4 linked regions of the Lonchura striata genome follow. The protein of the gene in region 1 purifies or fractionates together with the protein of each later gene. This does not show direct contact. Links are inferred from orthologs where the notes say so. Each region holds a gene or a part of one and is shown in the gene's direction. Other genes may lie near its edges. The genes, in order: EEF1A2, VARS1, EEF1B2 and EEF1G.

Evidence for each region.
Region 2: the proteins of EEF1A2 (region 1) and VARS1 purify together in Homo sapiens (co-immunoprecipitation; 3 studies listed by BioGRID and IntAct, counting the BioPlex papers as one, with this or other methods). This does not show direct contact. The link is inferred for Lonchura striata from reciprocal best matches to the Homo sapiens genes EEF1A2 and VARS1.
Region 3: the proteins of EEF1A2 (region 1) and EEF1B2 purify together in Homo sapiens (co-immunoprecipitation; 4 studies listed by BioGRID and IntAct, counting the BioPlex papers as one, with this or other methods). This does not show direct contact. The link is inferred for Lonchura striata from reciprocal best matches to the Homo sapiens genes EEF1A2 and EEF1B2.
Region 4: the proteins of EEF1A2 (region 1) and EEF1G purify together in Homo sapiens (affinity purification with mass spectrometry; 4 studies listed by BioGRID and IntAct, counting the BioPlex papers as one, with this or other methods). This does not show direct contact. The link is inferred for Lonchura striata from reciprocal best matches to the Homo sapiens genes EEF1A2 and EEF1G.

What each region holds. Positions count from the first base shown.
Region 1 is NC_134619.1:6,370,051-6,377,764, reverse strand, and holds the start of EEF1A2 (elongation factor 1-alpha 2), read left to right. Parts: upstream 1-4,704; 5' UTR 4,705-4,768; coding exon 4,769-4,912; intron 4,913-7,714. UniProt on the Homo sapiens protein: Translation elongation factor that catalyzes the GTP-dependent binding of aminoacyl-tRNA (aa-tRNA) to the A-site of ribosomes during the elongation phase of protein synthesis.
Region 2 is NC_134631.1:259,692-267,598, reverse strand, and holds the start of VARS1 (valine--tRNA ligase), read left to right. Parts: upstream 1-4,893; coding exon 4,894-5,019; intron 5,020-5,139; coding exon 5,140-5,205; intron 5,206-6,875; coding exon 6,876-7,064; intron 7,065-7,907. Other genes in the region: U6 snRNA-associated Sm-like protein LSm2, read left to right, coding at 809-934. UniProt on the Homo sapiens protein: Catalyzes the attachment of valine to tRNA(Val).
Region 3 is NC_134610.1:25,893,212-25,900,723, forward strand, and holds the start of EEF1B2 (elongation factor 1-beta), read left to right. Parts: upstream 1-4,508; 5' UTR 4,509-4,523; coding exon 4,524-4,603; intron 4,604-4,762; coding exon 4,763-4,885; intron 4,886-5,939; coding exon 5,940-6,063; intron 6,064-6,288; exon of another isoform or gene 6,289-6,368; intron 6,369-6,444; coding exon 6,445-6,511; intron 6,512-6,804; exon of another isoform or gene 6,805-6,938; intron 6,939-7,166; coding exon 7,167-7,292; intron 7,293-7,512. Other genes in the region: NDUFS1 (NADH-ubiquinone oxidoreductase 75 kDa subunit, mitochondrial), read right to left, coding at 58-188, 287-368, 460-536, 1,592-1,699, 3,099-3,190, 3,389-3,452. UniProt on the Homo sapiens protein: Catalytic subunit of the guanine nucleotide exchange factor (GEF) (eEF1B subcomplex) of the eukaryotic elongation factor 1 complex (eEF1).
Region 4 is NC_134638.1:103,685-111,358, reverse strand, and holds the start of EEF1G (elongation factor 1-gamma), read left to right. Parts: upstream 1-4,661; 5' UTR 4,662-4,697; coding exon 4,698-4,712; intron 4,713-6,252; coding exon 6,253-6,411; intron 6,412-7,338; coding exon 7,339-7,402; intron 7,403-7,674. Other genes in the region: POLR2G (DNA-directed RNA polymerase II subunit RPB7), read left to right, coding at 1-2, 928-1,087, 1,875-1,925, 2,540-2,605, 3,137-3,208, 3,850-3,883, 4,232-4,245. UniProt on the Homo sapiens protein: Probably plays a role in anchoring the complex to other cellular components.

The sequences.
Region 1 (7,714 bases):
ACAGCCTCCACTCTGTCCACAAACTGCCTTTTTGAGGACAACCACTGCTCTACCCTCCTTGGATCTGCTTTTCCAATGGCTCTTGCATGAGGCCAGGCTGCACTTCTTCCTTTCAAGGACTCAATTTCCTTGCACAGAAAGAAAACAGCAATTTACAGCCATCCCTCTGTCCAGCCCCAGCTTCTCCCTTGTGAGACCAGAGCTTCTGGAGTGACATCTGGGCTGGCATTCCTCGTGGCTGCCATCTGCCCTGCCCAAACCCCCTTCTTCAGAGGAGACCTGCTGCATTTCATAACCACAAACACACAACTGCTTAGTGAGCTGAACACTCACGGGCAGAAACACCCCCAGAGCCAGGCAAATCCAGGCAGGCAGCCTGGAGTGTTCACATCCCAGATCCATACAAATTACCAGCACTGCGGATTATTCCCTCTCCCAGTCACTGTGAGGGCCTCCTGGGGGAAAAAATAAATTCCAGTGGTTATGTCTGGGCAAATGGAAATGTTAGCCTAATTTAAAGAACCAAATGGAAATGTTAGCCTAGGTTAAATAATCAAATGGAAATGGTAGCCTAGATTAAAACACCAAATCTCAGTCCAGGGGCTGTAGAGCTGGGTGTGGTGGAGGTGATGATGATGAAAGGAGTAAGAGGTCCCTGCCATGTTTGTGTGCAGCCTGCCCATCCCTTCTGAGGAAGGAGGTTTCTGTTTTCTTGAGTCATCCTAAATCATTTGATGGTGGCTTACATGGAAGGTGAATCAAGCCTCAAGAAGATGGAGGGGAATTGTTTCAGGGCCGTGGATCTGACACCAGATGGAGGCAGACGAGGTGCTAAACTTCAGCCTCCCTCGGATTTCTCTTGCTCGGGTCTCTGTTATTTTACATTTAAGGGTAAATTTACACTGTGTTTTTTTTGGTTTTTTTTTTGTGAGGGAAGATTATTCCACTCAGGTGTGGAAGTTGAGCTTGATGGTCCCCAGAGCCACACGTGCTCAGTGAAGTCCTCAGCCCCAGGTGCCAGCCAGACCTGGGCACACAGCTGTGGCTTTAACCTCTCGAGGCTGGGGCAAAGTGGCTTAAGGGAGCTGGGATTAGCCAGGTCTGACAGCCCTCTCTCCTCTCCTCTCAGCTCCTGGACTATTTATAGGCCGATGGGCCGTCAGGCTCTATTTCAGTGCAGAACAGGGCACTGCCAAGTTCCCTTCTGCCTGCCTGGGAAAAGGGGTGGAAACAAAAATTCTTTTTATTGGAGAAGGAGAGGAGGCAGGAGAAGCCCATCCCATGCTCACCTGGCAGAGGTGACCAGGATTTATTCCATCCCCATCTTCATTATTAAACTCAGCCATTGCCCCTCTGAGGGCAGTTCCCAGGCTGCCTCAGCCCTTGTGTGAAAAAAAGGCAAAGCACTAAAATATGGATAGAAATAACGAGGGATTTATAAATTTCTCCCTCCTCCAAATTATCACACTTGCTGTCTATCTCCAGCCCGTCCAGAACTATGGTAAATCTTCTATCCCCATCCCAAAACAAGGCTGGGGTAATCTCTTTAAATCCTCTTAGAATCTCCTCCTTGGACGTTTCTTTTTATTTTTCCTGGCACTCAGTGCATTTTATGTTGTGCAAGGAATGCTTCATAAAAACAGAAGATATCTTGCCTATCATATTTCTAAGAAAATACCAGTGAGGTATAATATTCATTAAAAAAGGCCTCCCTTTGAGCACTAATGAGAAGTTAGAAACATTTTTATCCACATGATGATTAAATTTTTAACCATTAGTCTAGGAAGGTAAGAGTATCTTCGTAAAGGTATCTAAATTAGCTGTTGAATTCACTGGAAGGATGGTCTGGGCCATAAAATTGTTCTGGGTTATTTCATAGCTTTAGTCAAATTAGCTTCCTTTTTACCTATATTTGGCTTTGGGACACAGAAAATTTTGGATTGGCCTTGGAAATGCACAGCTGACACAGACATAAATATTCTGACCACTACATATTATTTTTTTGTGCAAAGAAAATGTCATTATATTACTGAAGGTTTATGGTTTCCTTGTCCTCCTAGGACCTGAGCCCCACTTCCCATTAAAAATGAGATGATGTTTTTAAATCACAAATTCTTGAGCAGCCCCCATATGTGCTGCAGGTGCAGAAATCTGTTTTCTGTGCTTGTCCCTTGCTTAGTCACTTGCTCCTGGACTGATGCATCCCAGCGAGGCAGAGATGTGGGGCAGTGCCCTCAGGGTCTCCCAGGGTCCTGTTTGTGCCCTGCAGGGACTCCTCTCCTCCCCGCCCCTGTGGGAGCACAGCCCTTCTGCACCACTGGGGACAGAGATGTGGGATTTGGTGGCCCATCCAAAGCCAGCCCTGTCCCCTCACTCCCAGACTGCCACAGGGAGTCCAAGTCCCCCTGGGCCAGCACTTCCATCATTTCCCCATCTTCCAAACAGCCCTTCCCTCCATTTATCTGTCTTCCTCCCAACCCTCTGTCTCTAGTCTCTCCATCTCCTCCATCCCATCTCCTTCTCATATCTTCATCATCCCTCTCTCCTGTTTCTCCATCTTTTATCCTTCCATCTTTCCCCCATTCCTCTCTCTTCCATTCTGCTGTTTCCCTCTGATTTCAGTCTTCCATTTCTCCATCTTCCCATCCCTCCATTTTCCACCCCTCTGCCTCTCCATTTCTCCTCCATTTTCCCCATCCTTGCATCCTTCTGCCTTCAATCTCTCCACCTCCCTCTCATGCCTTCATCTTCCATGGCTCCTGTCTCTCCATCTTTCCTCCTTCCACCTTCCTCCCATCTCTCCACCTTCCATCTTGCCGTCTCCCTCTGACTTCAGCCTTCCATCCTTTCACCTTCCCATCCCTCTATCACCCCCCCTCCACCTCTCCATTTTCCCCATCCCTCCATCTTCCTCCCATCCCTTTATCTCCCATCCTTTTACCTCCTTCCCATCCCTACACATTCCCTCCCAGTCCCCCGTCTCTCCCGCCTCTCCCTCCTCCTCCTCGTCGTCCTCCTCCTCTCCCCGTCCCCCCCGCGCCTCCTCCTCCTCCTCCTCCTCCTCCTCCTCCCCCGCCCGGTACCGCATTGCCGTAGTGCGGGGGGGCCGCTGCATTGCGCTGCCGCCGTCGATAGGAGGGCCCCTCCCGCGGAGATAAAGCCGGCGGAGCCCAAGCCGGCAGCCTCTGGCCGCCCCGACCGCCGCCCCGGTAAGAGCTGCGGGACCCCGGCGGGATGGGGGGACAGGGGGATGCGGGAGGGGTGTCCTGCCCCAGGGGATCAGTGCCCCCCTCCCGTGTGTGGGTGCTGTCAGCCCCTCCGGGGTGCGGGGTACCCCGCGGAGGGAAAGGATGGGGCTGGACCATTCCTTCATCCCGCAGGTGCGTCTTTGGCGCAGGTGGGAAATAACACGCAAGCCGTGGTGCTTCAGGACGTGAAAATCCTTCTAAATGTCGTGCACGAGGAGGAAAACCTGATAATCCCCCCAGCTCCCCCCTCCCCCCACCCTGCCTTTAGAATCATAGAATCCTCGAATGATTTGGCTCGGAAGGACCTTAAAGATCATCTCGTTCCAATCCCCCGGCCATGGGCAGGGATGTCTTTGGCTCCTTGGGGAAGGAATAATAAAAAAACAAATCCCCAATTCCCAAAGCGATCCAGCATCTCCCGCTGTGTGCCAGGGGTCTGCAGGGCAGGATTGGGTCCGGGTGCGAGTCCGGGACCGAGCATCTCAGTGGAGCAAAATGGCCAGACCCGGGCTGGCGGGGTTCAAGGGCAGGAGGGACGGGCCAGCCGCCGCTCCTGCTGCCCGGGGAAGCTTCTCGCTGGGAATGTTACCACCCGCATGACTGCATCGCTATTAGAGCAGCAAACTCCTCCTGACCTCCTTCACTTCTACGGGCAGATTCGTGAAATTGGATTTTATTAGACGTCAGATTAAAGCTCCTAATTGTGCCCGGTTCGTGTGCAGCTGCAGAGCCATGGCAACGCCGGGAGATGCCAGGACAGCTCCCCGGATATATCCGTTTGCGTTTTTAGCCTCCTCCCTCTCTTCCATCCAGTTTCACGGCAGCAAAATATAATAAACCCCGCAAAGTGCAGGCTCAGAGGAGCCCTGGGCAGCCCCGCTGTTGCAGCCCTGCTTGGGGGAGCAGGCGAGGGCTATTTTTGTCCACCCCGTTTTGCAGACACTCTGTTGTCACCTGAACTGTGCCCAGCTGGGGAGTGGTGAGGGCAGCCCGGGAGGACGGGCACCCTCGGCTCCTCCCAGGGCACCCACGACATGGAGGAGATGCCCTCGGCTTTGGAAAGAGCGAGAAGGCAGCGGGAGCAGCCCTGAGTCGCGGGGAGGTTTTCCAGGGAGGTTTTCCAGGGAGGAAGGGCACCTTCGAAGCATCCATGACGTAGCCCTGGGAACTGGGGGTCTCCGCGAGGGAGGTGGAGGGCAAGATGCCGAAAAAACCACGAAAAACACGGCGTCTTGCCGAGAATTGGAGGCTGGACGTGGCAGCCCGAAATAGCCCGGCTGGCTCTGACCCAGTGCGGGCAGAGCTGCCAGACGAGGCCGGGCACCCCCGGGCGAGTGGTCCAGCGGGAAGGTGGGGCGAGGGGAGGACAGACTTTCCCCAAGGGCTGGGAGGGGATTGGCACAGGGGGGCTCTTTTGACGCTCCCGACTCTTCCCCCTCAGCCTCCCCCAAAAGGCAGCTGCGTTCCCACCGCCCTCCCCAGCGCCGCCCGCCCCGGCCAGCCCCGCGTAGCCCAGCAGCATGGGGAAGGAGAAGACGCACATCAACATCGTCGTCATCGGGCATGTGGACTCTGGGAAATCCACCACCACCGGGCACCTCATCTACAAATGCGGGGGCATCGACAAACGGACCATTGAGAAATTTGAGAAGGAAGCTGCCGAGGTGAGGAGCCTGTCCCCACCCCGCATTCCCACCCGCGGGGATGCTCCACGCTGGCCCCCGCCAGTATCCCGCAGGCAGTATTCCCCTTTTGCCCGTGCTGCCCTTCTCTTACCTTCCATTTCTCCCTTTGTTCCCATCTATTTTTCTCCCTTTGCACCCCTGGGTCTCCCCGACTTCTCTGGCCTTGGGAAAATGGGCCATTTGGGTGCTCGCCACCCTCTGTTCGGAGCTGGGGGACTCCCTGCTGCCCGCTGGTAACCAGGGCAGGGGCACGGCGAGGTCTGCAAGATGGGTCAGGGAACCAGCAGGAATCACTAGAATCCTGGAAAAGCCACAAACCATGGTGCTTCAAGGCATGAAATTCTTTCTAAATATGGTGCGTGAGGGGGGAAAACCTGATAATCCCTCACTGCATAGGTCAGGGCTGTCTGAATTTCACTCTGAAGCATCAGTTTCCAGTGCCTGCTGGGACAAGGTGCAGCATCAGCTGGACTCATTTGATCCAGCTGAAAAACCTCATTCCCTTTTTCCTCAGGCAGGTGGTCTGGTGTGTAGTGTGATTGGCAACCTATGATACAGAAAACTGTCTGTAAATCTGAGCATTTAAGTTAAATTCTTTTGTTTAACCCTTGCAATGGTGACATTTATAACAATTTTATCGTGCATGCATTTAGAAGCTGTCGCACAGCAAAGCACCACCCGATACCTGTAATGTGGCAAACCCCAGGATTAATCAGGAAGAAACAGGCTTGGGAAGAAAAATGTCAATTGGGAGTGCAGAGAAATTAATGATGGTAAATTCTAGAGAGGCGGGTGAGCTGGGAACAGCCTGGCTGTGTTATCCACAGGGCAGCTCCTGTCACTCAGAAGATGGCTTGTCGTCATCGCTCTGGAAATGCAGATATCCCTCTTTTTTTTTTTTTTTCCATTTATTTTTCTGGTCAAAATCACACATTTCATTGACAAGAAAGAAAAAACAAAAGAGATTTACAGAGCTGCCACTTTTAATTTCATGTTTTGCTGTCTGTCTTGACCTTTTTAACTTGCCGATAGTATCTGAGCTAAATCCCTTATTTTCCTGCCTCACTTTCAGCCTTTTTTTGCATCCTTAAGGAAAGGAGCCTCTTCCTTCATACAAAATTACCCTTCTCCCCTGGATTAAAATGGTTGCCGATATCCTTCCACAAATTCCCCCCTTTACCCATAAGATCAGATAAGGCATGATAAGGTTATCGTTGATGTGATTGCAGTGATTTTAATTGCACAGGCACTTTCACTGACTTGCCAGGATCCGCGGGCACCGGAGGCTGCTATTAATAGCCTATTGACTGAGCTTACAGACTCCATTTTCTGATGCAGGGCTGGGGAAGGGTTTGCTTCCATTAGGTGGCATTCACAGGAAATGGAGGCCTGCGTGCACCCAAAAGGCCAACAAAAAAACTCCAGGGTCTGTTATTTTATTTAAGAGAAAAGAGCGAGGATTTCTCTCTTTTTTCCCCCCTTTTGATTCAAGGGCAGAGGTAACAGTATCTCTGAAAGAAGAGTTGTTCTGTTTTAAAAAAAAAAATTAAATAATCAGTATTTGTGGCCTCCAAATAGAAAGCTGTCCCTCCACTGGGGTTTGATCAGGGAAATTCAGGCTATTTCTGGCACTGAACAGGGAAGGTATTGTGCAGAGCTAGATAATACCCTGGGTTTTTCAACACCAGCCCTGGGTAACTGAATACACCCTGTGAAAGGAGGGAAACTGTTTGCTGAATAAAGGATCTCATTTGTCTTCACGTTACGTGTGATGCCGAGCTCTGAGGGGGTCTCACACGTGATGAGCAGCTGGCTGTGTGTGTGGACATGGCCAATGGCAGGAAGGTGCTGATTCCCACTCAGCTGCTGTGGGAGAGCCAGGGCTCTGCTCTGTGCCTCAGTTTCCCCATCCAGAAGGGAGGCAGTAGGCTGCTGATGAGGGAGAGGCTGTGGGATGTGCTGATTGACCTCCTGCCCAAGAAAAGCCCATAATTAATGCAATGCACAAATGCACCATTCCCTGCTGGGTCTCCATTTCCAGCAGCACACTCTGCTGACTGCTCCCTGTTCTCTGGGAAGGGGGAGTTTGATGTGCGTGCTGGAAAGGGTTAACCTGATCCTATCCCTGGAAGTGTTCAAGGCCAAGCTGGACAGAATTTGGAGCAACCTGGTCTAGCAGAAGGTGCCCCTGTCCATGGCAGAAGGGTTGGAATGAGCCGATCTTTGAGGTCTTTTCCAACCCAAACCATTTTGTGATTCTAAAAACCTCCAAGCTCCTCCCATCCCCCCTGGCCATCCAGTGTCAGGAAGATGCTCAGGAGCAGAGTCTTGGTTCTGGATTTTTCCATGCCAGTGAGAGCTCACAGCTGCCCAGCAGAGATTGGGCATCACCTCCTCGACCTGGCGTCCCCTCTGAGGAGGGGAAATCTTACCCCTGGCTTTAGGATTTTGCCCTTAATCCTCCGGAGCAAGCTGCAAAGTCATCGCACCACTCAGCTGTTATGAAACAGGCTGTCACCATTAATTCCTTGTGCTGGCTGGGAACAGGGCTGGAGTGTGGGAGATGGAGCAGAGCAGCAGACCAGCCCCTGGGCATGGTGTGGGCAAGGTTTGGATGTGATTCTGTGTTCTCTTTCTTGGGGGGGCTCATCACTGATGAGTACCTGCCACTGGGGGCTGCTTCCCTCCGACCTGTGATTGATAATGGGCCAGAAGAAACTGTGATTGCAGGGAAAAGAGGGATGGATGGATGGATGGATGGATGGAAGCAGGGTATCACAG
Region 2 (7,907 bases), on another chromosome or scaffold:
TGGGGTGATCTGGGGGGATTTTGGGGATTTCTGGGAAGGATTTTGGGGAGATTTTTGGGGTTACCTGGGGGGATTTTGGAGCGTTTCTCTCTGTTTTTTGGGGGGATTTCTCTGGGGATTTTTGGGATTTTTTGGGGTGCATCTCAGGAATTTTTGGGGTGTCTGTGGGTGAATTTTGGGGTGTCTGTGGGTGAATTTTGGGGTGCCTTTCCCCCCAGCTCTCGGTGAAGAACTGCTTCATCCACGGCTCCGGGGGCGTTTTTGGGGGGAATCTTTGTTTTTTCGGGGTTTTTGGGGGGATTTCTCGGGGATTTTTGGGGGGATTTCTCTGGGGATTTCTCTGGGGATTTTGGGGATTTTTTGGGATGTGTCTCAGGAATTGTTGGGGTGTCCCCGGGTGAATTTTGGGGTGCCTTTCCCCCCAGCTCTCGGTGAAGAACTGCTTCATCCGCGGCTCCGGGGGCGTTTTTGGGGGAATCTTTGTCTGTTTTTTCAGCGTTTTTGGGGGGATTTCTCTGGGGATTTTTTGGGGTGTATCTCAGGAATTGTTGGGGTGTCCCCGGGTGAATTTTGGGGTGCTCTCCCCCCAGCTCTCGGTGAAGAACTGCTTCATCCGCGGCTCCGGGGGCGTTTTTGGGGGGAATCTTTGTTTTTTCGGGGTTTTTGGGGGGATTTCTCGGGGATTTTTGGGGGGATTTCTCTGGGGGTTTTTGGGGGGATTTCTCTGGGGATTTTGGGGATTTTTTGGGGTGTTTCTCAGGAATTGTTGGGGTGTCCCCGGGTGAATTTTGGGGTGCTCTCCCCCCAGCTCTCGGTGAAGAACTGCTTCATCCGCGGCTCCGTGGTTCGCTACGTGCAGCTGCCGGCCGACGAGGTGGACACGCAGCTGCTGCAGGACGCGGCGCGCAAGGAGGCGCTGCAGCAGAAACAGTGACCCCCAAAACCCGGGGGACCCCCCAAAAATTCTGGGGGACCCCAAAATCCCTCGGGGGAACCTCCCAAAATCTGGGGAACCCCAAAATCCTCACAGGAACCTCCCAAAATCCCCGGGATAAACCAAAATCTTCAGGGATACCCAAACCCCTGGAGGGACTCCCAATTTTGGGGTGACCCCTCCAAAATCTGGGGGGGACCTAAAATCTGGGGAACCCCCCAAAACATCTGGGGAACCCCAAAATCCCTTGGGGGAACTTCCCAAAATCTGGGGAACCCCAAAATCCCCACAGGAACCTCCCAAAATCCCTGTGGATAACCCAAATCCCTGGGGATACCCTAAAAAACCAGGGGGACCACCCCCCAAAATTCCTGGGGACTCCCCAAAAATCTGGGGACCCCAAAATCCCTCGGGGGAACCTTCCAAAATCTGGGGAACCCCAAAATCCCCGAGGGAACCTCCCAAAATTCCCGGGGATGACCCAAAATCTTCGGGGAAACCCAAATCCCCTGGGGGGACTCCCAAATTTGGGGTGACACCCCCAAAATCCCCGAGAGGACCCCAAAATCGCCAGGGATAACCCAAAACCCAGTGGGAACCCCAAAATCCCAGGGGGAACCCCAAAATTCTTCAGGGGAAACCCAAAATCGCCTGGGATAACCCAAATTCCTGGCTGGAGACCCAAATTTAGGGTGACACCCCCAAAATCCCCGGAGGGACCCCAAAATCTTCAGGGGGACCCCAAAATCCCAGGGGGACCCCCAAAATACTCGAGGATTTCCTAAAATCCCCAGGGAACCCCCCGAAAATTTGGGGGAACCCCAAAATCCCCGGGGATAACCCAAAAACTGGGGGGACCCCCCCAAAATCTTTGTGGGGACCCCAAAAATCCGGGGGAACCCCAAAATCTTCAGGGACGCCCTAAAAAAGCAGGGGGACCCCAAAATGCTCGGGAGGAGCCGCAAATTTGGGGTGAAATCCCCAAAATTCGGGGGGGACCCCAAAATTTGGGGGTGCCCCCGGCCCCGTTGCTGAACCCCAATAAATGCCGGCCCCGCCCTGAGCCTGCGAGTGGATTTTGGGGGGATTTTGGGTTTTTTTGGGAGTTTTTGGATCATTTTAGGGGTTTTTGGGGTGATTTTGGGGGGTTGGGGTGATTTTGGGGGGTTGGGGTGATTTTGGGGGTTTTGGGAGGATTTTGGGGGTTTTTGGGGTGATTTTGGGGTTTTTTGGAGGATTTTCAGTCTCTTTTCGGGCTGTTTTTGGGGGGATTTTCAGGCTATTTTTGGGGGGGGTTTCAGGCTGTTTTTGGGGCATTTTTGGGTTGTTTTTGGGCTGTTTTTGGGAGGATTTTCGGGCTGATTTCGCTGTAGTTTTGGGGATTTTCGGGCTGGTTTTTGGAGGATTTTCAGGCTCTTTTTGGGCTGTTTTTGGGGGATTTTCGGGCTGTTTTTTGGGGGATTTTCAGGCTCTTTTCGGGCTGTTTTTTGGGGGATTTTCAGGCTCTTTTCGGGCTGTTTTGGGGGGATTTTCGGGCTGGTTTCGGGCCGTTTTGGGCGTTTTTTTGGGGTCCCTTTGGCGCGGCGCAGCCTTGGCACCTCCCGGCCGCCAGGGGGCGCCGCGCTCCCCCCGCCCCTCCCGGCGCCAACCGGAAGTTGCGTCATTCGCGCGCGTCCTGCGCATGCGCCCCGCGCGCCGCCCCACGTGGCTCCTCCCGCCGCCGCCGCCGCCGCCGCAGGTACCGGGGAGGGGGGGCCACGTGACCCCCCAAATCCACCCAAAATCCCCCCAAAATCCACCCAAAAATCCCCAAAAAATCCCCCTGAAAAACCCGGCACCCACAGCCCCCGGTACCGGCCCTCAGCCACCCCCGGGATCCCACCCGGGACCCCCAAAACCCCCCGGGACCCCCAAAATCCCACCCGGGATCCCCAAAACCCCCCGGGACCCCCAAAAACCCACCCGGGACCCCCAGAAACCCCCCGGGACCCCAAAATCCCACCCAGGACCCCCAAAATCCCACCCGGGACCCCCAAAATCCCACCCGGGACCCCCAAAATCCCACCCGCGATCCCCAAAATCCCACCCGCGACCCCCAAAAACCCACCCGCGACCCCCAAAATCCCACCCGGGATCCCCAAAAACTCACCCGGGACCCCCCAAACCCCCACGGGACGCCTAAAAACCCACCCGGGACCCCCAAAAACCCACCCGGGAACCCTAAAAACCCACCCGGGACCCCCAAAATCCCACCCGGGACCCCCCAATCCCCTCCCGACCCCGGTGCCCCCGGGAGCCCGGCTTTCTTCCCGGTTTTACCCAATTTTTTCCATCTTTTCCCTGTTTTCCCCAATTTTCTCTCCATTTTCTCCCTTTTTTCTCCCACTTTCCCCCAATTTTTTCCCTGCTTTTACCGATTTTTCTTCTTTTTTCTCTCCATTTCTCCCCTTTTCCCACAATTTTCCTCCCAATTTTCACCCAATTTTCTCTCTTTTCCCCCCTAATTTTTACCTAATTTTCTTCCTTTTATCTGCCCATTTCCCCCAATTCTCCCCTAATTTCTCCCCCTATATTCACCGAATTTCACGCGATTTTTACCCAATTTCACCCAATTTCCTCCCTCATTTTTCCCCATTTTTACCCAATTTCCTCCCCCATTCCCTCTCATTTCCCCCCATTTTCCCCCACTTTTCACCAATTTCCCCCCATTTCCCCCTAATTTTCCCCCAAAATCTCCCCCAATCTCCCCCCCATTTTTTCCCCAATTTCTCCCCTTTTCCTCCATTTTTCTCCCACTTTCCCCCCATTTCCCCCGATTTCCCCCCATTTCCCCCAATTTCTCTTCATTTCCCCCAATTTCCCCCCAATTTTCACCAAATCCCCCCGTTTCCCCCCAATTTCCCCCAATCCCCCCAATTTTCACCAATCCCCCCGTTTTTCCCCCCAATCCCCCCAATTCCCCCAACCCCCCAATTTTCACCAATCCCCCAATTTTCCCCAATCCCCCCAATTTCCCCCAAACCCCCAATTTTCACCAATCCCCCCAATTTTCCCCCAATCCCCCCAATTTTCACCAATCCCCCCAATTTTCCCCCAATCCCCCCAATTTCCCCCAATCCCCCCAATTTTCACCAATCCCCCCGTTTTTCCCCCCATTCCCCCAATCCCCCCCAATTTTCCCCCAAACCCCCCAATTTTCACCAATCCCCAATTCCCCCAACCCCGCAATTTTCACTAATCCCCCAATTCCCCCAAACCCCCCAATTTTCACCAATCCCCCCGTTTTCCCCCCAATTTTCACCAATCCCCCCAATTTTCACCAATCCCCCATTCCCCAATCCCCCCAATTTTCACCAATCCCCCCGTTTTCCCCCACAATCCCCCCAATTCCCCCAACCCCCCAATTTTCACCAACCCCCCAATTCCCCCAATCCCCCCCAATTTCCCCCAATCCCCCAATTCCCCCAATCCCCCCAATTTTCACCAATCCCCCGTTTTCCCCCCATTCCCCCAATCCCCCCAATTCCCCAAACCCCCCAATTCCCCCAATCCCCCCCAATTTTCCCCAATCCCCCAATTTCCCCCAAACCCCCCGTTTTTCCCCCCAATCCCCCAATTTCCCCCAATTTCCCCCCAATTTTCACCACTCCCCCCGTTTTCCCCCCATTCCCCAAACCCCCCAATTTCCCCCAATCCCCCCAATTTTCACCAATCCCCCCGTTTTCCCCCAATTTTCACCAATCCCCCCGTTTTCCCCCCAATTTCCCCCAATTCCCCCAATTCCCCAAACCCCCCAATTTCCCCCAATTTCCCCCCAATTTTCACCACTCCCCCGTTTTCCCCCCAATTTTCACCACTCCCCCCGTTTTCCCCCCAATTTTCACCACTCCCCCCGTTTTCCCCCAATTTCCCCCCGTTTTCCCCCCAATTTTCACCACTCCCCCGTTTCCCCCAGCCCCATGGCCGCCCCCCCGGTGCTGCTGCTGCCGCCGCCGCCCTCGGGCTCGGCCGCGCTGCGCGTCCTCATCGCCGCCCGCTTCTCCCCGGGCCCCCCGCCCCGCCTGGAGCCCGCGGGCCGGCCGGGGGTCCCGCCGCTGCTGCGGACCCCCGGGGGGGCTCTGCTGGGGCCGGGGGCGGCGGCGCTGCTGCTGAGCCCCCCCGAGCTGCGGGGCCGGGACCCCCCCGAGGCCGCGCTGGTCCGGCAGTGGGTCGCCTTCGCCGAGGGCGACCTGGGCACGGCCGCCGCCCTGGCGCTGGGGGGACCCCCGCGGGTCCGTGGGGAGGGGTCTGCGGGGGTCTGGGGGGGGTTTGGGGGGGGATTTGGGGGAGTACTGGCGGTTTGAGGGGGTATTGGGGGGGTATGAGGGGATTTGGGGGGGGTACGTGGGGATTTGGGGGGTATGAGGGGGTTTGGGGGGGTATTGGGGGGTGTATGAGGGGATTTGGGGGGGGTACAGGGGGGATTTGGGGGGTGTACATGGGGATTTGGGGGGGTATGAGGGGGTTTGGGGGGGTTTTGGGGGGGATTTGGGGGAGTACTGGCGGTTTGAGGGGGTATTGGGGGGGTATGAGGGGATTTGGGGGGGGTACGTGGGGATTTGGGGGGTATGAGGGGGTTTGGCGGGGTATTGCGGGGTGTACATGGGGATTTGGGGGGGTATGAGGGGATTTGGGGGGTCTACGTGGGGATTTGGGGGGGTATGAGGGGGTTTGGGGGGGTATTGGGGGGTGTATGAGGGGATTTGGGGGGTATGAGGGGGTTTGGGGGGGTATTGGGGGGTGTACATGGGGATTTGGGGGGGTATGAGGGGGTTTGAGGGGGTATTGGGGGGGTATGAGGGGATTTGGGGGCTTATGAGGTGGTTTGGGGGGGTATTGGGGGGTGTACATGGGGATTTGGGGGGGATTTGGGGGATTATGAGGGGGTTTGGGGGGTTTGGGGGGATTTGGGGGAGTACTGGCGGTTTGAGGGGGTATTGGGGGGGTATGAAGGGATTTGGGGGGGTCTACGTGGGGATTTGGGGGGTTATGAGGGGGTTTGGGGGGGTATTGGGGGGTGTACATGGGGATTTGGGGGGGTATGAGGGGGTTTGGGGGGGTTTTGGGGGGGATTTGAGGGAGTACTGGCGGTTTGAGGGGGTATTGGGGGGGGTATGAGGGGATTTGGGGGGGTATGAGGGGGGATTTGGGGGTTGTACGTGGGGATTTGGGGGGGATTTGGGGGATTATGAGGGGGTTTGAGGGGGATTTGGGGGGTGTACGTGGGGATTTGGGGGGTATGAGGGGATTTGGGGGGGTTTTGGGGGGGATTTGGGGGAGTACTGGCGGTTTGAGGGGGTATTGGGGGGTATGAGGGGATTTGGGGGGGGTACGTGGGGATTTGGGGGGTTATGAGGGGGTTTGGGGGGGTATTGGGGGGTGTACATGGGGATTTGGGGGGTATGAGGGGGTTTGAGGGGATATTGGGGGGTGTATGTGGGGATTTGGGGGGTATGAGGGGGTTTGGGGGGTATGAGGGGATTTGGGGGGTATTTGGGGTGGTATGAGGGGGTTTGGGGGGCATTTGGGGGGATTTGGGGGGTATGAGGGGGTTTGGGGAGGGTTTGGTGGGTCTCAGAGGGGTTTCAGAGGGGTTTGGGGGGGTATGAGGTGGTTTGGGGGGGATTTGGGGGGTATTGGGGGGTTTCACAGGTGGGATTTGGGGTGTCACAGATGGAATTTGGGGTGTCACAGGTGGGATCTGGGGTGTCACCGGTGGGATCCGGGGTGACATGATGGAATTTGGGGTGTCACCGGTGGAATTTGGGGTGTCACCGGTGGGATCTGGGGTGTCACCGGTGGGATCCGGGGTGACATGATGGAATTTGGGGTGTCACCGGCGGGATCCGGGGGGATCGGTGCTGTCCCTGTGCCGAATTTCGGGGTGCCCCCGTTTCCCCAGGACCGGCCGTGGGGGCTGCAGGAGCTGCGCCGGGGGCTGGGGGCTCTGGAAGCCCACCTGGGCGGGGGGCGGCGCTTCCTGGTGGGCGACGGCGTCACCCTGGCCGACGTCACCGTCACCTGCACCCTGCTGGGGCCCTTCACCCAGGTGGGACCCCAAAAATGGCCCTGGGACCCCAAAATCTCCCTGAGACCCCCAAAATATCCTTGAGACCCCCAGAGTGACCCCCAATGTCCCCTGGCCCCCAATCCCCCCATGACCCCAACCCCCCCCTGACCCCCAAATCCCCCTGACCCCCAATCCCCCACGGTGACCCCCAATCCCCCCCGGTGACTCCCAAACCCCCCCCTGACCCCCAATCCCCCCCCTGACCCCCAATCCCCCCAGTGACCCCCAAATCCCCCCTGACCCCCAGCTGCTGGACCCCCCCAATTCCCCCCTGACCCCCAATCCCCCCAGTGACCCCCAATCCCCCCAGTGACCCCCAATCCCCGTGCCCCCCAGCTGCTGGACCCCCCCAATCCCCCCCGGTGACCCCCAATCCCCCTGACCCCCAATCCCCCCCGGTGACCCCAAACCCCCCGGTGACCCCCCAATCCCCGTGCCCCCCAGCTGCTGGACCCCCCAAACCCCCCAGTGACCCCGAATCCCCCCGGTGACCCCCAATCCCCCCGTGCCCCCCAATCCCCCCAGTGACCCCCAATCCCCCCGTGCCCCCCAATCCCCCCAGTGACCCCCAATCCCCCCAGTGACCCCCCAATCCCCGTGCCCCCCAGCTGCTGGACCCCCCAATCCCCCCGGTGACCCCAAACCCCCCCGTGACCCCCAATCCCCGTGCCCCCCAGCTGCTGGACCCCCCCAAACCCCCCGGTGACCCCCTAGTCCCCGTGCCCCCCAGCTGCTGGACCCCCCAATCCCCCCCGTGACCCCCAAACCCCCCAGTGACCCCCAAACCCCGTGCCCCCCAGCTGCTGGACCCCCCCAAACCCCCCCCGTGACCCCCAATCTCCGTGCCCCCCAGCTGCTGGACCC
Region 3 (7,512 bases), on another chromosome or scaffold:
GAATTGACACAAATATGCCTGCTTAGTACTCTGCTCAGTGAAAGTAAAGAGCTTTACCTGATGCATCGAGTGCACTGTATACACCGAGTCATGATGGTTTTGACTAAGGGGCCAATGTTCTTGTCCTCCACAGCACGTTTGCTCTCTCTAAATCTGCTCCTATCACTGCCAAACATCATTGACTGGTCCTACAACAGACAATAGAACACAGGCTGCTGGAAAGCACAATTTCACCTAAGACAACAGCATTATACATAAGTCTACATAATTTAATTGGATCTTGTACCTGTAGATCACATTCTCCACCCTGATCACAGATAGGACAGTCCAATGGGTGATTTGCCAGCAGAAACTCCATTACACCCTCTCTGTTAGGTTCAGAGAATTAAATTAATGTCAACTTAACATCACTTAGCAGACAGTACACCTAATCAGCCAAAGGAGGCTAAAGAAAGGTACCTTGCTTTCCTGGACTTCTCAGAGTTTGTCAGTATATTCCAGCCCTTCATAACTGGCATGGCACAAGCAGCAACTGGCTGCAATCACAATAAAAAGGAAGCATGAAACAAATATTTTTCTTCTCAGATGGGCACAAACCCACATCTCCTCCCCCCCAATTCTAACATATGTATCTGTAATAAATAAATAGAAATAAAGAGGTCTGCAAAGAAAACAAAAAGAGTCTAACTGATAACATCACTAGAAGCCATATTCATTAATAATCTGCTATATAAAAAGGTTAAAATAGTTATGACTTATTCATAATTCTTTATTTATGAATAATTTTACAATTATTAACATTTTAAAATTCTACAATTTCCAGTCTCAATTTGAGTAGCTACAGCATTAAGAATCTCAGTTGTAATAGAGACAAGGCAAATCAAACAGTTTCAGCAGACATCTAGAAAACCTCTAGAACTGAAATTCAGAGTATGAATCGTTTACAAGACACTTATTTGCACAAAGCCTGTATAAAGTCTTGGAATAAAATTCTTCTCAAGATTACTGCAAGAGTAACAAAAACTCCTGCTCTGTAAATAAATCCCTTTTACTTTTCAATCGCATCATGATTTCCACCTTTAGTGATAACCCAACATATCCAGAGATACAAAGCTCAAAGTATGGAATAGAAGTTGGGTTGAGCTAAAAAATTTTATGTGTGAGTATAAATGTGTAATCCAAGACTGAACCCTAAAAGAATGTGCACAGATTTCTTAGTACTGCTGAAGACAGTGTTCGCTCCTGAAATCAACTATTTCACAACAGATATCAATGCATTAACATATAAACTACTAACTAACTGCAATCTTTACTTACAATGAACCTGCAGTTACTAATCGTACAGTTAAATTCATACAGTATCTGAAGTGTATTATCTATGTAGTATCAGCTGAACATGTGTGGCTGAAGCTTGAACTACAAAGCATAAAATGCATCTAACAGCAAACACACAGCTATCAAATGCTCATGTCCAAGAGAATGCCAACAATTACTTAAAAGATTTAAACTAGGCCCAAGCACAGCAAAAAACTCCTACTGAATTCCATATTGCATATTCCATATTGCAATTCCTGTGAAACACAAACAATACCTTTGGAGCTTTCTCTATTTCCACAAGACACATCCTACAGTTTCCAGCAATAGAGAGACGATCATGGTAACAAAAACGAGGTATCTGAACTCCAGCCTTTTCACAAGCCTATCAAAAAATAAGAAATAGAGGAAAATTAAATCTTAATTAGATTTTTCAGTTCCACCTCAGAAAACACCATGCAGCTTTTCAAAGAGTAACACTGTCAATGCTCAAGAATAGAAGGCACTTGACCTTTCATCTTAAGAAGTGACCATAAATAAAAAATTGTGACAAAGCAAAAAAAAAAGTCAGGATATCAATTACAAATATAGTTTTTCTAACCTTTATAAGTGATTGAGGAAATGAAAACTGACCTGTCTTTCATTCTTTCCTCCAATAATACAGAGAATTCTCTGCAACAGGGCACTAATAATACAAATAACTTTTTAAAAAACAGACTCTTTACAGAAAAGTGCATCACAATAAAAACTGAAAAACTTAAAAAGAGCACCATGAGCAGAATGATTTTTGATAATCCAACAACACAGATCCTCTGTATGAAGGTACTCCAGCAGAGTCAATCTTAAACTTCAGCAGAGCCCAAACTCAAAGACAACACGACAGAAATAGAGACAGGAGGACAGAGCCAACAGATTTCCAGAGACCAGCTGAAGACAGCCTTTCCTGCATAAACCCCCCACAACTAATGGGATCTATGCTACAGCATTATAGCTATGCCTGCCAGAAGAAATACCACCAAATTTAATAAAAAAACTTTAACAAGGTCTAGTTTGTCTGACATTTTCTACCAAAAAGAACCATGTTATCTAAACTGAAAAGCTAATTTAAAAAAACAACATTTAAGAAAAATTTGCACTAGGTTCCTGCTGGGGACATTCTAATGCCTAAATAAATTAGTAACTTGTATCCAAAGAACAAGGGCTATATCTAGAAAAAAATTGCATATTTTAATGTTCTAACTCATTATATCACATCTTCATTTAATGACTTCTTAAAAAAAATCTTTACTTGAAACTTAATCCTGAAAAGTAACAATGCTCTGTACAGGTTGGGAGATCCAGGTTCCCTTTCTTTCCACACCAAGAATAATAAAAGCAGCTAAGCATGAGCACTCTGAATCCTAACAACCAATAACTGAAAGGAGACAATCTGTCATTTACCCAAGATACACTGTAATAAGATACAAAATGTACAGATTCTGAAAGACTACAAGGTCAAGTTCAATGAGAATTTATTGAAGTCTGTTACTGCATTGAATAAAGTTTTGCAGCTGGGATTGATGCTGCATGCATCTTCTTTTAAGCAACCATGGCATATTTTTCTCTTTCAAACACTGGATTCCCCCAGGGATTTCTGTCACATGAAATTGCATCACAGTCAGTTAAAACACCCCTAAAGAACTGCAAGATGTAAAGGCAGGTGGCTTTTTGCTGAATGGAACAGAACATGCTGCCAAGAAGTGAGATGGGAAGTCCCAGAAAATTGAGAATGTCATTTCCCACACCTGCAGGACTGTGGTTCCAGGGTTCACCAATACAGGATGGCCATCCACAAACACCTCTATTTGGTTGCTGGCTGCTGTTGCAGTTGTACGCCCTGAAGGACATGGAAAAAGAAAACAAAAACTCCTTACTCCTGATTTTCCTTATAGAGGGCTGACGGAATCCCAATTCTACCAAGAGCACAACACAGTATCCCTTAGCCTGCAAAGCGAGTATGCATATGTGCCCTCCGGTAAATGAACTGCACATACATTTATCTCCAGAGACCCAGATATAAACCACAGACACTTACCACATACTCTGGAGGACTGGGTGACCCCAGCTAAGGTCCTGGAGACAGCAAGCAGTCGAAGCATGGTGCTTTGGAACGAGAGAAAAGAGCACTGTTGTTACCAGTTCGAATGTTTGCTGGCAAGTTTAAAACAGGTAGCGTAAGAACTACACCAGCCGCAGAAGAGCACGGACCTATATGCACAGTTATGGGGCACCGAGTTACCTCCCTCAAACGCAACATACGATCCTACCAATCTATACATCACACACAGGAACGTCTCTGAGCGGCCCCTCCGCCCGCAGCGGAGCCCCGGCGCCGCTGCCCCGCTGGCAGCGCGGTTCGGCTGCGGCGGGCCCGGTGCCGCCGTCCCCGGGCCGAGGGCACGGCGGGCGGCAGCGCTACCCGGCGGGGGTCACCTTGGAGGCGGCGCCGCCGCCGGGCAGCCCCCGGCCCGCCAAGGACAGCGGGAGCGGCGGCGCCCGGAGCGGCGGCAGCGCCGTTACCTGGCGCGGGACGGCGGCGGCGCCGCGGCACGGCTGCGCTCCGCCTCGGCCTCCGCGGCGGCGGCCTCGGGCCTTTCCGCCGCGACCTCCGCCTGCCTCGGCTGCCTCCGGAGCCTCCTTCGGCAATCTCCGTACGGGGCAGTCCGCGCTCGGCAACCTCCGGAGCGAACCACTTCGGGTGTTTCCGGCAAGCGCTAGGGGCACGATGACATGCGTAAGTTCCGCCGCCAGCCCACAGCCTCTTCGGCCGCCGTCACGCGCGCCGCCCTTCCCTCGGCAGTTTCCGTCCCTTTCCGCCTCTTTCTTCGCTCAACTCCGGCAACTTCCGCTCTGCCAGCAGGGCGGGGTGTGGCGACAGTACAGTGCTACAAAGCCGTGTAATGCCGCAAACCTTCCTAGCGCTTATAGTCAGCCTCACTTCTATTACTTCGACGCTTTCCCGCACCTCCGCTGTCCCGCCCGCTGCCCGCCCTGCGCTGCAGCAGTCAACCCCTGAGGCGCTACCTCGCGGCTCGCTCTCGCGGAGGGATACACGCGTGCAGTGCGCGGAGGGATCCGGCGCTATATAAGGCCGGCGCAGGCGCGGCCGGGCCCTTTCCCGCGGCAGTGGCGGTCGGGGCAGCGCAGCGTGTGGGCCGCGCGCCGCCGCCATGGGCTTCGGCGACCTGAAGTCCGCCGCGGGCCTCCGCGTCCTCAATGACTTCCTGGCCGACAAGAGCTACATCGAGGGGTGAGAGGCGGCGGGGGAGGGTGCTGGGCGCGGAGAGCGTGAGTCGGGCCTGGCGGAGACAAGCGGGACAAGGGCCCTGAGTCAGCCCGGCGGCCGCCGCTGCTCCGCGTGTTCCTGCGAGTCTCGAGCAAGGCAGATAACTCGGTTTGCTCTCCGCAGGTACGTCCCTTCGCAGGCTGACATAGCAGTCTTCGAAGCGATCGCCGCCCCGCCGCCTGCAGACCTGTGCCATGCTCTCCGGTGGTACAATCATATTAAGTCGTATGAAAAGCAAAAGGCAAGGTATAGTAAAACTTCGAAGCTGTAATACCTCCCCGAACTCGCCTACAAATTGTTGCGTTTGTTTCTTCCAGTTTGAGCAAAACTGGTTTCCAGTGGCACCGCATGGCATTTTGTGTCAGAAACAGGGCAGACATCTTCTGTCAGTACGGAGGACAAAATTAATGATTGCAGTACCGAAGGACATGGAAAGAAAAGTAGATATGAAAGGAAATAGTATATCTTTTCTCTCTTTAGTGGTTTTATGTGTTCATGAAAGGTGCTGTATTGAGATCCGTGGAGACTGCAGGCCTCTGAAAAGGTACAGCATAGGTAGGGTCAGTATTGCAACGCTGCTTCTGAGCCTCAGTCCTCTTCGGAGGAAACTACCAAAAATGGGTAGCTCAGTCTCTAATCAGTTTCTGAAGCTTTGGTAATGCTAAGAGGGACTGAAATTCTGAAGTGGTTTCACAAAGTATCTGGAAACTGCTTAGGGTTCCTGAAATCAAAAGCGAATTTTATGGCTTCAGTAACAGCTGTTCACATGAGCAATACAACTGTGACCTTATTCTAAGATGACAGGACCATATGAGCAGCAAGTGAAGGTAAATTCAGGAAGTTAGACTTTTTTGTCCTGTTGAGAGGAAGGGTTTAGGGCACTGAAATGGGAAAATAGCAGTTACCATGCAGTAATGTGTTTTCAGTGACTTACTAGGTTTTAAACAAGTGAAAGTAGTTCCAGGGAAGCACGTACATGAAGTTGGTAATTCCTCCTAGACAGAATGTAGTGCAGATAGAGGATTCCAATAAGAAAGCTTTTCTTATCCATGTACTTAGTTGGGCAGGATCATACCAGCTCTGAGCTACAGCAAATCCCATATTCACAGATTACTCAGCTGGCATGTCAGGAGTGTTGGGGCTGGCTTTCACGAGGTTCTGATTTCAAGTAGCAAAGCTGGATTTTTACTCTTTTTAGCACAAGTTTTTCATTATAAATAGCTTTGTACGGGCATTGATAAGCTGGCAGTGATTGTATTGATGTTTGAGGAGGTTCCTGATACCTGCATTTTTCTTTCAGCTTGCCAGGAGTAAAGAAGGCTTTGGGAAAATATGGTCCTGCTGATGTTGAGGATACAACAGGTGCGGCCACAGATAGCAAAGATGATGATGACATTGACCTTTTTGGATCTGATGATGAGGAGGTACTTGTGACCTTTTTGTATTATTCCTGTTACGCTTTAGAAATTAAATAAGGTGTGCAGATTTTTTCACCTTGACCTAGTTGGAGTTACTTATGTTTCCAACCTTGATAATCCTACTTGCAATACCCAAGTGTAGCTATCTTTGCAGAATAGGGAAGCTTGGAAGGTAAAAACTCAAAAGTTAGAAAATAAGGTGCTGGAATGGGATGAGCTGTCTAATTTTGGCTGGTTACATGATGAGTAAAACAAAAAATCACCATCTTTCGGCTGACAAGTGTGATGATTTGTTTTTATCTGAGTAAATGCCAGTCAGTTTGGTGTAGTGCTTTGGAGATGTGGAGGTTTGGTGCTTTTTTCTGTAACTGCAAATTTGTCTTTCAGGAAAGTGAAGAAGCAAAGAAACTGAGGGAAGAGCGTCTGGCCCAGTATGAATCTAAGAAGTCCAAAAGTATGTGTGCCGAGAACTTTCCAATCTTCTACACTGGAGTTAATTTTTATGCATTTGAACAGGATGGCTAGAAAGACTAATTAACTGTAATAATAGATCAGCTTGACTGGAATGAGACAGGAGTGATTAGCTTCACTTGAATTGCCAGTGAGCTCAGCCTTCCCAATGCAAATAGGAATGTTAACATGCTTTTTGTTCTGGTTCATACACTCCTGCTTGTTCTTTCCAGAGACTGGGCTTTCTACAAGGATTTTCTTCAAAATTTTAGTGAAAGTGCTGCAGTACACAAGTTATTCCACAGCTACTGGTCTGGAACTGTTCAGAACTGTAGCAGTTGCAGTATTCCATCTGTGGAAAATAAACTGTTACACAGCATTAGGCTCCTTCTCAGATGTTCTGAGAAGGACTTCCTATGTAACAAACACTGTCATCTGCTCAAATCTGTGTATACATAATGTATCTGCATATTGAAAGTTGGGATGTACACAGCTGCAGTACTTCAGAAATGTGCCTTGGTACCAGAGGCCTGTCACAGCAATGTCATCAGGTTCTTGCTCGTGAAATGGGATAAGTTGCTCTTGTAAAACCATTTTGCAAGTGTATTCATGAGTTTTTGGAAGATACCTATCTTTTCATGGTGATTTTCTTCCCCTAGAACCAGCTGTTGTTGCAAAGTCATCAATCTTGCTTGATGTGAAACCTTGGGATGATGAGACAGACATGGCCAAACTAGAGGAGTGTGTTCGAAGCATTCAAGCAGATGGCTTGGTCTGGGGATCTTGTAAGTATGGGGAAATTTCAGAGCAGGGTGTGGGGGAGAGTGCAGGTTTGTGGGCTAGTACTGAGTAGTGGGACTTGTGGTCACTGCTGATGTATGAAATGTAGGTAGCTGTAACAGGGGAACTGCAATACTGCAGTATTTCAGTGTCTTTGCATGGTCTGAAAAGGTGTATTGGTTCAGTGGCCTAGTTAAGATTCAAATACAGGTTTTAAAAGCTACA
Region 4 (7,674 bases), on another chromosome or scaffold:
AAGTGAGCGCGGGACCGGGGGAACCGGGGCGGGAGTAGCGGAACCGGCACCGAAATCCGCAAAACGGCAAAAAAATCCCGAAAAACGGCACAAAAATCCCCAAAAACGGCACCAAAATCCCCAAAAACGGCACAAAAATCCCCCAAAACGGCACAAGAATCCCCAAAAACGGCACCGAAATCCGCAAAAAACGGCACCAAAATCCCTAAAACAGCAAAAAAATCCCCAAAAACGGCCCCGAAATCCCCCAAAAAGGCCCCGGGAAAAACGCCCAACAAACCCCAAATAAATCCCAATAAATCGCAATCAATCAATCAAAATTAAATTAATTAACTGACATTAACCCCGTCTCTCGGGGGCAGCTTCGCTGTTGGCACCGGGGTGGTCCAGACCCCAATAAACCCCAATAAATCAATGATAAATCCCAATAAAACCCCAATAAATCAATGATAACCCCCAATAAAACCACAATAAATCCCCCGATGAGCACTAATTCATTAATTAATGGTTGTTAATTACAGGTACGGGTTCGTTATCGCGGTGACCACCATCGACAACGTGGGCGCGGGGGTGATCCAGACCCCGATAAACCCCAATAAACCCCAATCAATCAATGATAAATCCCAATAAACCCCAGTAAATCAATGATAAATCCCAATAAACCCCCATAAATCAGTGATAAATCCCCCAATGAGCACTAATTCATTAATTAACGGTTGTTAATTACAGATACGGGTTCGTTATCGCCGTCACCACCATCGACAACGTGGGCACGGGGGTGATCCAGACCCCGATAAACCCCAATAAACCCCAATAAATCAATGATAAATCCCAATAAACCCCAATAAATCAATGATAACCCCCAATAAAACCACAATAAATCCCCCGATGAGCACTAATTCATTAATTAACGGTTGTTAATTACAGATACGGGTTCGTTATCGCGGTGACCACCATCGACAACGTGGGCGCGGGGGTGATCCAGCCGGGCCGCGGCTTCGTGCTCTACCCCGTGCGCTACAAGGCCATCGTCTTCCGGCCCTTCAAGGGCGAGGTGGTGGACGCCGTGGTCACCCAGGTCAACAAGGTCAGGGGTCACCGGGGGTCAGGGGTCACGCGGGGGTCAGGGGTCACCCGGGGGTCACCCAGGCCGGCAAGGCCCGGCCTCCCCTTCTGTCGTTTTCTGTCTCGTTTTTATTAATTTCTGGTTTTTTTGGTCCCTTTCTGGGCCTTTTTCTCCTGGTTCTGCCCCGTTTGAATCCATTTTTATCCATTTTTATCCATTTTAATCCCTGTTTGCCCAATTTATCCCTTTTTATCCATTTTTGCCCATTTCATTCCTTCCTTTTTATCCATCTTCATCCCATTTTTCTCCCACTTTTATCCATTGTTATCCATTTTTATTTGTTTTTGCCCATTTTATCCTTTTTTATCCATTTTTATCCGTTTTTGCCCATTTTATTCCTTTTTATCCATCTTCATCCCATTTTTCTCCCACTTTTATCCATTGTTATCCATTTTTATTTGTTTTTGCCCATTTTATCCCTTTTTATCAATTTTTATCAATTTTTGCCGATTTTATTAATTTTTATCCATTTTTACCACATTTTTGCCCCATTTTTCCCATTTTTTCTCCCTTTTTCCCCATTTTCCCCATTTTCCCCCTTTCCCCCCATTTTTCCCCATTTTTGCCTTGTTTTTTCCCCGTTTTTGCCCCTTTTTCCCCCTTTTTTCCCCACTTTGCCCATTTTTGCCCTGTTTTTATCCCTTTTCCCCCACTTTTCCCTGTTTCTGCCCAATTTTTCCCACTTTTCCCCATTTTTCTCCACTTTTGCCCATTTTTGCCCATTTTTGCCCCGTTTTCCCGTCCCCAGGTGGGGCTGTTCACCGAGATCGGGCCGATGTCCTGCTTCATCTCCCGCCACGTGAGAGGGGGACGGGACCCCAAAAATGGCCAAAAGGGGGGAGGGGACCCCAAAAATGGCCCAGAGGGGGGAGGGGACCCCAAAAATGGCCAAAAGGGGGGAAAGGACCCCAAAAATGGCCAAAAAGGGGGAGGGGACCCCAAAAATGGCCCAGAGGGGGGAGGGGACCCCAAAATGGCCAAAAGGGGGGAGGGGACCCCAAAAATGGCCAAAAAGGGGGAGGGGACCCCAAAAATGGCCCAAAGGGGAAAGGGACCCCAAAAATGGCCAAAAGGGGGGAGGGGACCCCAAAAATGGCCAAAAGGGGGGAGGGGACCCCAAAAATGGCCCAGAGGGGGGAGGGGACCCCAAAAATGGCCCAAAGGGGAAAGGGACCCCGAAAATGGCCAAAAGGGGGGAGGGGACCCCAAAAATGGCCAAAAGGGGGGAGGGGACCCCAAAATGCCCCTTGGGGCTCTCCCTGACCCCTCAACCCCCCCTCCCACCATTTCCCACCCAAATTTTCCCCTGGGGACCCCAAATCTGCCCCAAATCCCCTTGGGGACCCCAAATCTGCCCCAGGGGACCCCAAATTTTGCCCCGGGGACCCCAAATCTGCCCCCCTGTCCCCCCAGTCCATCCCCTCCGAGATGGAATTCGACCCCAACTCCAACCCCCCCTGCTACAAAACCGTGGACGAGGTGAGGGGGGGTTTGGGGGATTTTGGGGGGTCCTGAGGGAAATTTGGGGGTCTTGGGGGGGTCCTTGGGGGTTTTGGGGGGACTTTGGGTGTCCTGGGGGGAATTTGGGGGGGGATCCTGGGGGGATCCTGGGGGATCCTGGGGGGATCCTGTGGAATTTGGAGTCCTGAGGGGTCTGGGGGCGTCCTGGGGGGAATTTCGGGGGTCCTGGGGAGAATTTGGGGGGTCCCGGGGGGATTTGGGGGGTCCCGGGGGGATTTTTGGGGGTCCCGAGGGGATTTTTGGGGGTCCTGGGGGAATTTTGGGGGTCCCGGGGGGATTTGGGGTTCCCGGGGGGATTTTTGGGGGTCCCGGGGGGATTTTTGGGGGTCCTGGGGGGATTTTGGGGTCCTGGGAGGATTCAGGGGGTCCCAGGGGGATTTTTGGGGGTCCTGGGGGGATTTTGGGGGGATTTTGGGGTCCTGGGGGGATTTTTGGGGGTCCCGGGGGGATTTTGGGGGGATTTTGGGGTCCCCACTGTCGCTCCCCCAGGACATCGTGATCCAGCAGGACGACGAGATCCGCCTGAAGATCGTGGGGACGCGCGTGGACAAGAACGACATCGTGAGATTCGGGGGGAAATCCCGGCCTTTCGGGCAAAATCCCAAAATCTGGGGGCAAATCCTGACATTTTGGGGGAAATGCTGAAATTCTGGGAGGAAAATTCCCAAAATTCAGGGGGGAAAACCCAAAAATTTGGGGGGAAAATCCTGAAATTGGGTGGGAATGCTGAAATTCGGGGGGTAAATCCCAAAATTTTGGGGGAATCCTGGGACTTGGTGGGAAATTCTGGGATTTGGGGGAAAATCCCAAAATTCTGCGGGGAAATGTTGGGATTTTTGGTGGGGAAATCCTCAAATCTCGGCACGGGGGGAGAATCCACAAATCCAGGGAGATATTCCCAAATTTGGGGGAAATTCCCAACATTTGGGGGCAAAATCCCAAAATCTGGGGGGAAATGCTCGAAATTCAGGGGGGAAATCCAAAAATTCAGGGGGGAACCAAATATTTGGGGGAAAATCTCAACATTTGGGGGAAAATCCCTAAAATTTGGGGGGAAATTCTCAAATTTGGGGGGGAAATCCCAAAATTTCAGAGGGAATTCTCAAATGGGGGGGGACATCCCAAATTTTGGGGGGGTCCCAGCTCCGGGGGGGGTCCAGGTCAGCCCCTCCCCCTCCCCTGATCCTTCCCCTCCCCCCCAGTTCGCCATCGGCTCCTTGATGGACGATTACCTGGGTGAGGCGGGGCCGGGATTTGGGGGGATTTGGGGAATTTTGGGGGTCCTGGGGGGATCTGGGGGAATTTTGGGGGTCCCGGGGGGATTCTGGGGGGTCCCGGGGGGATTTGGGGGAGCCCAGGGGGGATTTGGAAGTCCCGGGGCAGTTTGGAGGGTCCCGGGAGGATTCTGGGGAGATTTGGGGGGGATTTTGGGGGTCCCGGGGGGATTTTGGGGAGTCTCAAGGTGGATTTGGGGGGTCCTGGGGGAATTTTGGGAGTCCCGGGTGGGGTTTGGAGGGTCCCGGGAGGATTTTGGGGGGTCTCGGGGTGGATTTTGGGGTCCCTCATCCTTCTCTCCCCCCCCAGGCCTGGTCAGCTGAGCCCCAGGAGCAGCCGCGACCCCTCCCCAATTTCCCCCCCCTTCTCCCAAATTTTGGGAGCCCCACCCCCCCCATCCCCAATTTTGGGGGGTTCTGGCAGCCGGGCCCCTCCCCCAGAGCTGGGGGGGCTCTGTTTTCCCTCAATAAAGGCGTTTTTCCCAATTTTCCGCCTTTTTCTTTTTTTTGGGGGGGGCTCCGGGAATTTTGGGGGGGGTCTTCGCCTCCCTGGGGGGCCCACCGCGCCATCGCCGCTTTAAGGCGCCATCGCCGCTTTAAGGCGCCATCGCCGCTTTAAGGCAGCGTCGCCCCTTTAAGTGCGGTCCCCCCCCGTTGCCACGGCAGCCACCCCGTCCCGCGCTTTACGGCGCCGCGCGTCACTGCCGCGCTCCTCCCACCCAGCCCCGTTTCCGCGCTTTGCGGCCCGGCCCGGCCTTCTCCCCGCGCTCTCCAAGATGGCGGTGTCCGGGGTGAGTGCGGCCGCCGCCGCCATCCGCCGCCATCCTCCTTCCCCCGCCGCCCCGCCGCCTCCCCGCCGCCACCGGGGGAACCGCGGGGCACCGGGGATGCGGCCGGGCCGGCCGCGGAGCCGCGGGGAGGCGGCGGGGGGCGCGGATGGCGGCGGGAAGGGAGGGGGGGAGCCCTGAGGGGAACCGGAGCCGGTGAGGGGGGAGGGCGGCGGGTTGGTGCCACCCTCGGGGACATCTCGGGGACATCTCGGGGACATCTCGGGGACCCCCTGCCCCGATTTTCCCCCAAATCCTGCGCGGGTACCCCAAAACCCGGGGGGTTCCAGGGGCTTCGTCCACATCGGGACCCCCGGGGCGGATTTTGGGGGTCCTGCGTCCCCTCAGTGCCACCCCCCGGTGTCACCCCGGTGTCCCCAAGTTCTGGGGACATCTCGGGGACCCCCTGCCCCGATTTTCCCCCAAATCCCGCGCGGGTACCCCAAAATCGGGGGTTCCAATTGTCCCCCAGTGCCCGCCCCACACCGGGACCCCCGCGGCCACCCCCGTGTCCCAAAACTTGGGGACATTTTGGGGGCATTTTGGGGAGATTTGGGGACACTTTGGGCGCCCTGTGGGGACATTTCAGGGACAATTTAAGAGACGTTTTAGGGACATTTTGGGGCCACTCTGGGGATATTTTGGGCACACTCGAGAGCCACTCTGGGGACACCTTGGGGACCCTTTGGGGACACTTCAAGGGACCTTTTAGGGACACTCTGGGGACCCTTTGGGGATATTTTGGTGACACTTTGGGGACACTTTTGGGATACTCTGGGGACCCTTTGGTGACACACTGGGGACACTCTGGTGACACTTCGGGGACACTCTGGGGACCCTTTGGGGATATTTTGGGGACACTCTGGGGACACCTTGGTGACACCTTGGTGACACTTTGGGGACCCTTTGGGGATATTTTGGGGACACTTTAGTGACACTTTGGGGATATTTTGGGGACCCTTTGGTGACACTCTGGGGACACCCTGGTGACACTCTGGTGACACTTCGGGGACACTCTGGGGACCCTTTGGGAATATTTTGGGGACACTTTAGTGACACTCTGGGGACACTTTCGGGATACTCTGGGGACCCTTTGGTGACACGTTGGTGACACTCTAGGGACCCTTTGGTGACACCCTGGGGACACGTTGGGGACACTCTGGGGACCCTTTGGGGACACCTTGGTGACACTCTGGAGACACCTTGGTGACACTTTGGTGACACTTTGGAGACACCTTGGTGACACTTTGGGGACCCTTTGGTGACACCCTGGGGACCCCCTGGTGACCCTTTGGGGACACTTTGGGGACACTCTGGAGACACCTTGGTGACACCCTGGGGACACCCTGGGGACACTCTGGAGACCCTTTGGGGACACCCTTGGGACACTTTGGGGACACTTTGGTGACACTCTGGTGACACTTTGGGGATATTTTGGTGACACCTTGGTGACACTTTGGGGACCCCCTGGTGACCCCCTGGGGACCCCCGGTGCCTCCCGCAGACGCTGTACACGTACCCCGAGAACTGGCGCGCCTTCAAGGCGCTGATCGCGGCGCAGTACTCGGGCGCGCGGCTGCGCGTGCTCTCGGCGCCGCCGCTCTTCCGCTTCGGCCACACCAACCGCAGCCCCCAGTTCCTGCAGAAGTTCCCGCTCGGGAAGGTCAGTCTGCGCCTGAACAACCCCAGAATTCCCAAAAAATCCCAAAAAAATCCCAAAAAAATCCCAAAAAACTCAAAAATCCCAAGATCTGGGGCCTGGGGTTTGGGGGGTTCAGACCCTGCAGTTCCTGCAGAAGTTCCCACTCGGAAAGGTCAGTCTGAGCCTGAACAATCCCAGAATTCCCAAAAAATCCCAAAAAAATCCCAAAAAACTCAAAAATCCCAAGATCTGGGGTTTGGGGGGTTCAGGCTCCCCAGTTCCTGCAGAAGTTCCCGCTCGGGAAGGTCAATCTGAGCCTGAACAATCCCAGAATTGCCAAAAAAATCCCAAAAATCAAAAAAAAGAAACCCTAAAAAACTCAAAAATCCCAAAAAACTCCCAAACTGTGGGGATTTGGGCGTTTGGCTCAGAATTTGAAGTTTTGTGGGGTTTTTTGGTGGTTTTGGGGTATTTTTGGGCTTTTTTTGAGCTTTGGGGTTTTTTGGTGGGGGGGGGATTTCTTGGGGGATTTTTGGGGATTTTTGTGGGGGTTTTTTGGGATTTTTGGTGGTTTAGGAGTTTTTAGGAGTATTTTCTGGATGTTTTGGGGTTTTGGGGATGTTCTGGGGATTTTTGGGATTTTTTTGAGGTTTGGGGCTTTGGGGGGTATTTCTTGGGGGATTTTTTGGGGATTTTTGTGGGGGTTTTTTGGGATTTTTGGTGGTTTTGGAGTTTTTAGGAGTATTTTCTGGATGTTTTAGGGTTTTGGGGATGTTCTGGGGATTTTTGGGATTTTTTTGGGGTTTTGGGGGGTATTTCTTGGGGGATTTTTTGGGATTTTTGTGGTGTTTTTTGGGATTTTTGGTGATTTTGGGGTTTTTGGGAGTATTTTCTGGATGTTTTTGGGGTTTTTGGGATTTTTTTGAGGTCTGGGTTTTCTCCCCGCAGGTCCCGGCCTTCGAGGGCGACGACGGATTCTGCGTCTTCGAGAGCAACGCCATCGCCTACTACGGTTAATTAGTGCCCTAATTAGCTTAATGAGCTGCTGTGCTCCTCACTGGCTGTGCTCTGCTGCCCTAATTAATTAATTTGTTCGTTGATTGATTGATTGATTGATTGGCTCTTTCCTGGAGCTCATTAATGATCCCCTTTTGCTCATTAACGATTTTTCCTGCCCCTTAATGAGTCCCTCCCCTGATTAACCATTCCCCTGGCTAATTAATTTCCCTGCTGCTAATTAATTACCCTTTTGGGTGATTAATTAACCCTTTCCTGGCAGTGAGC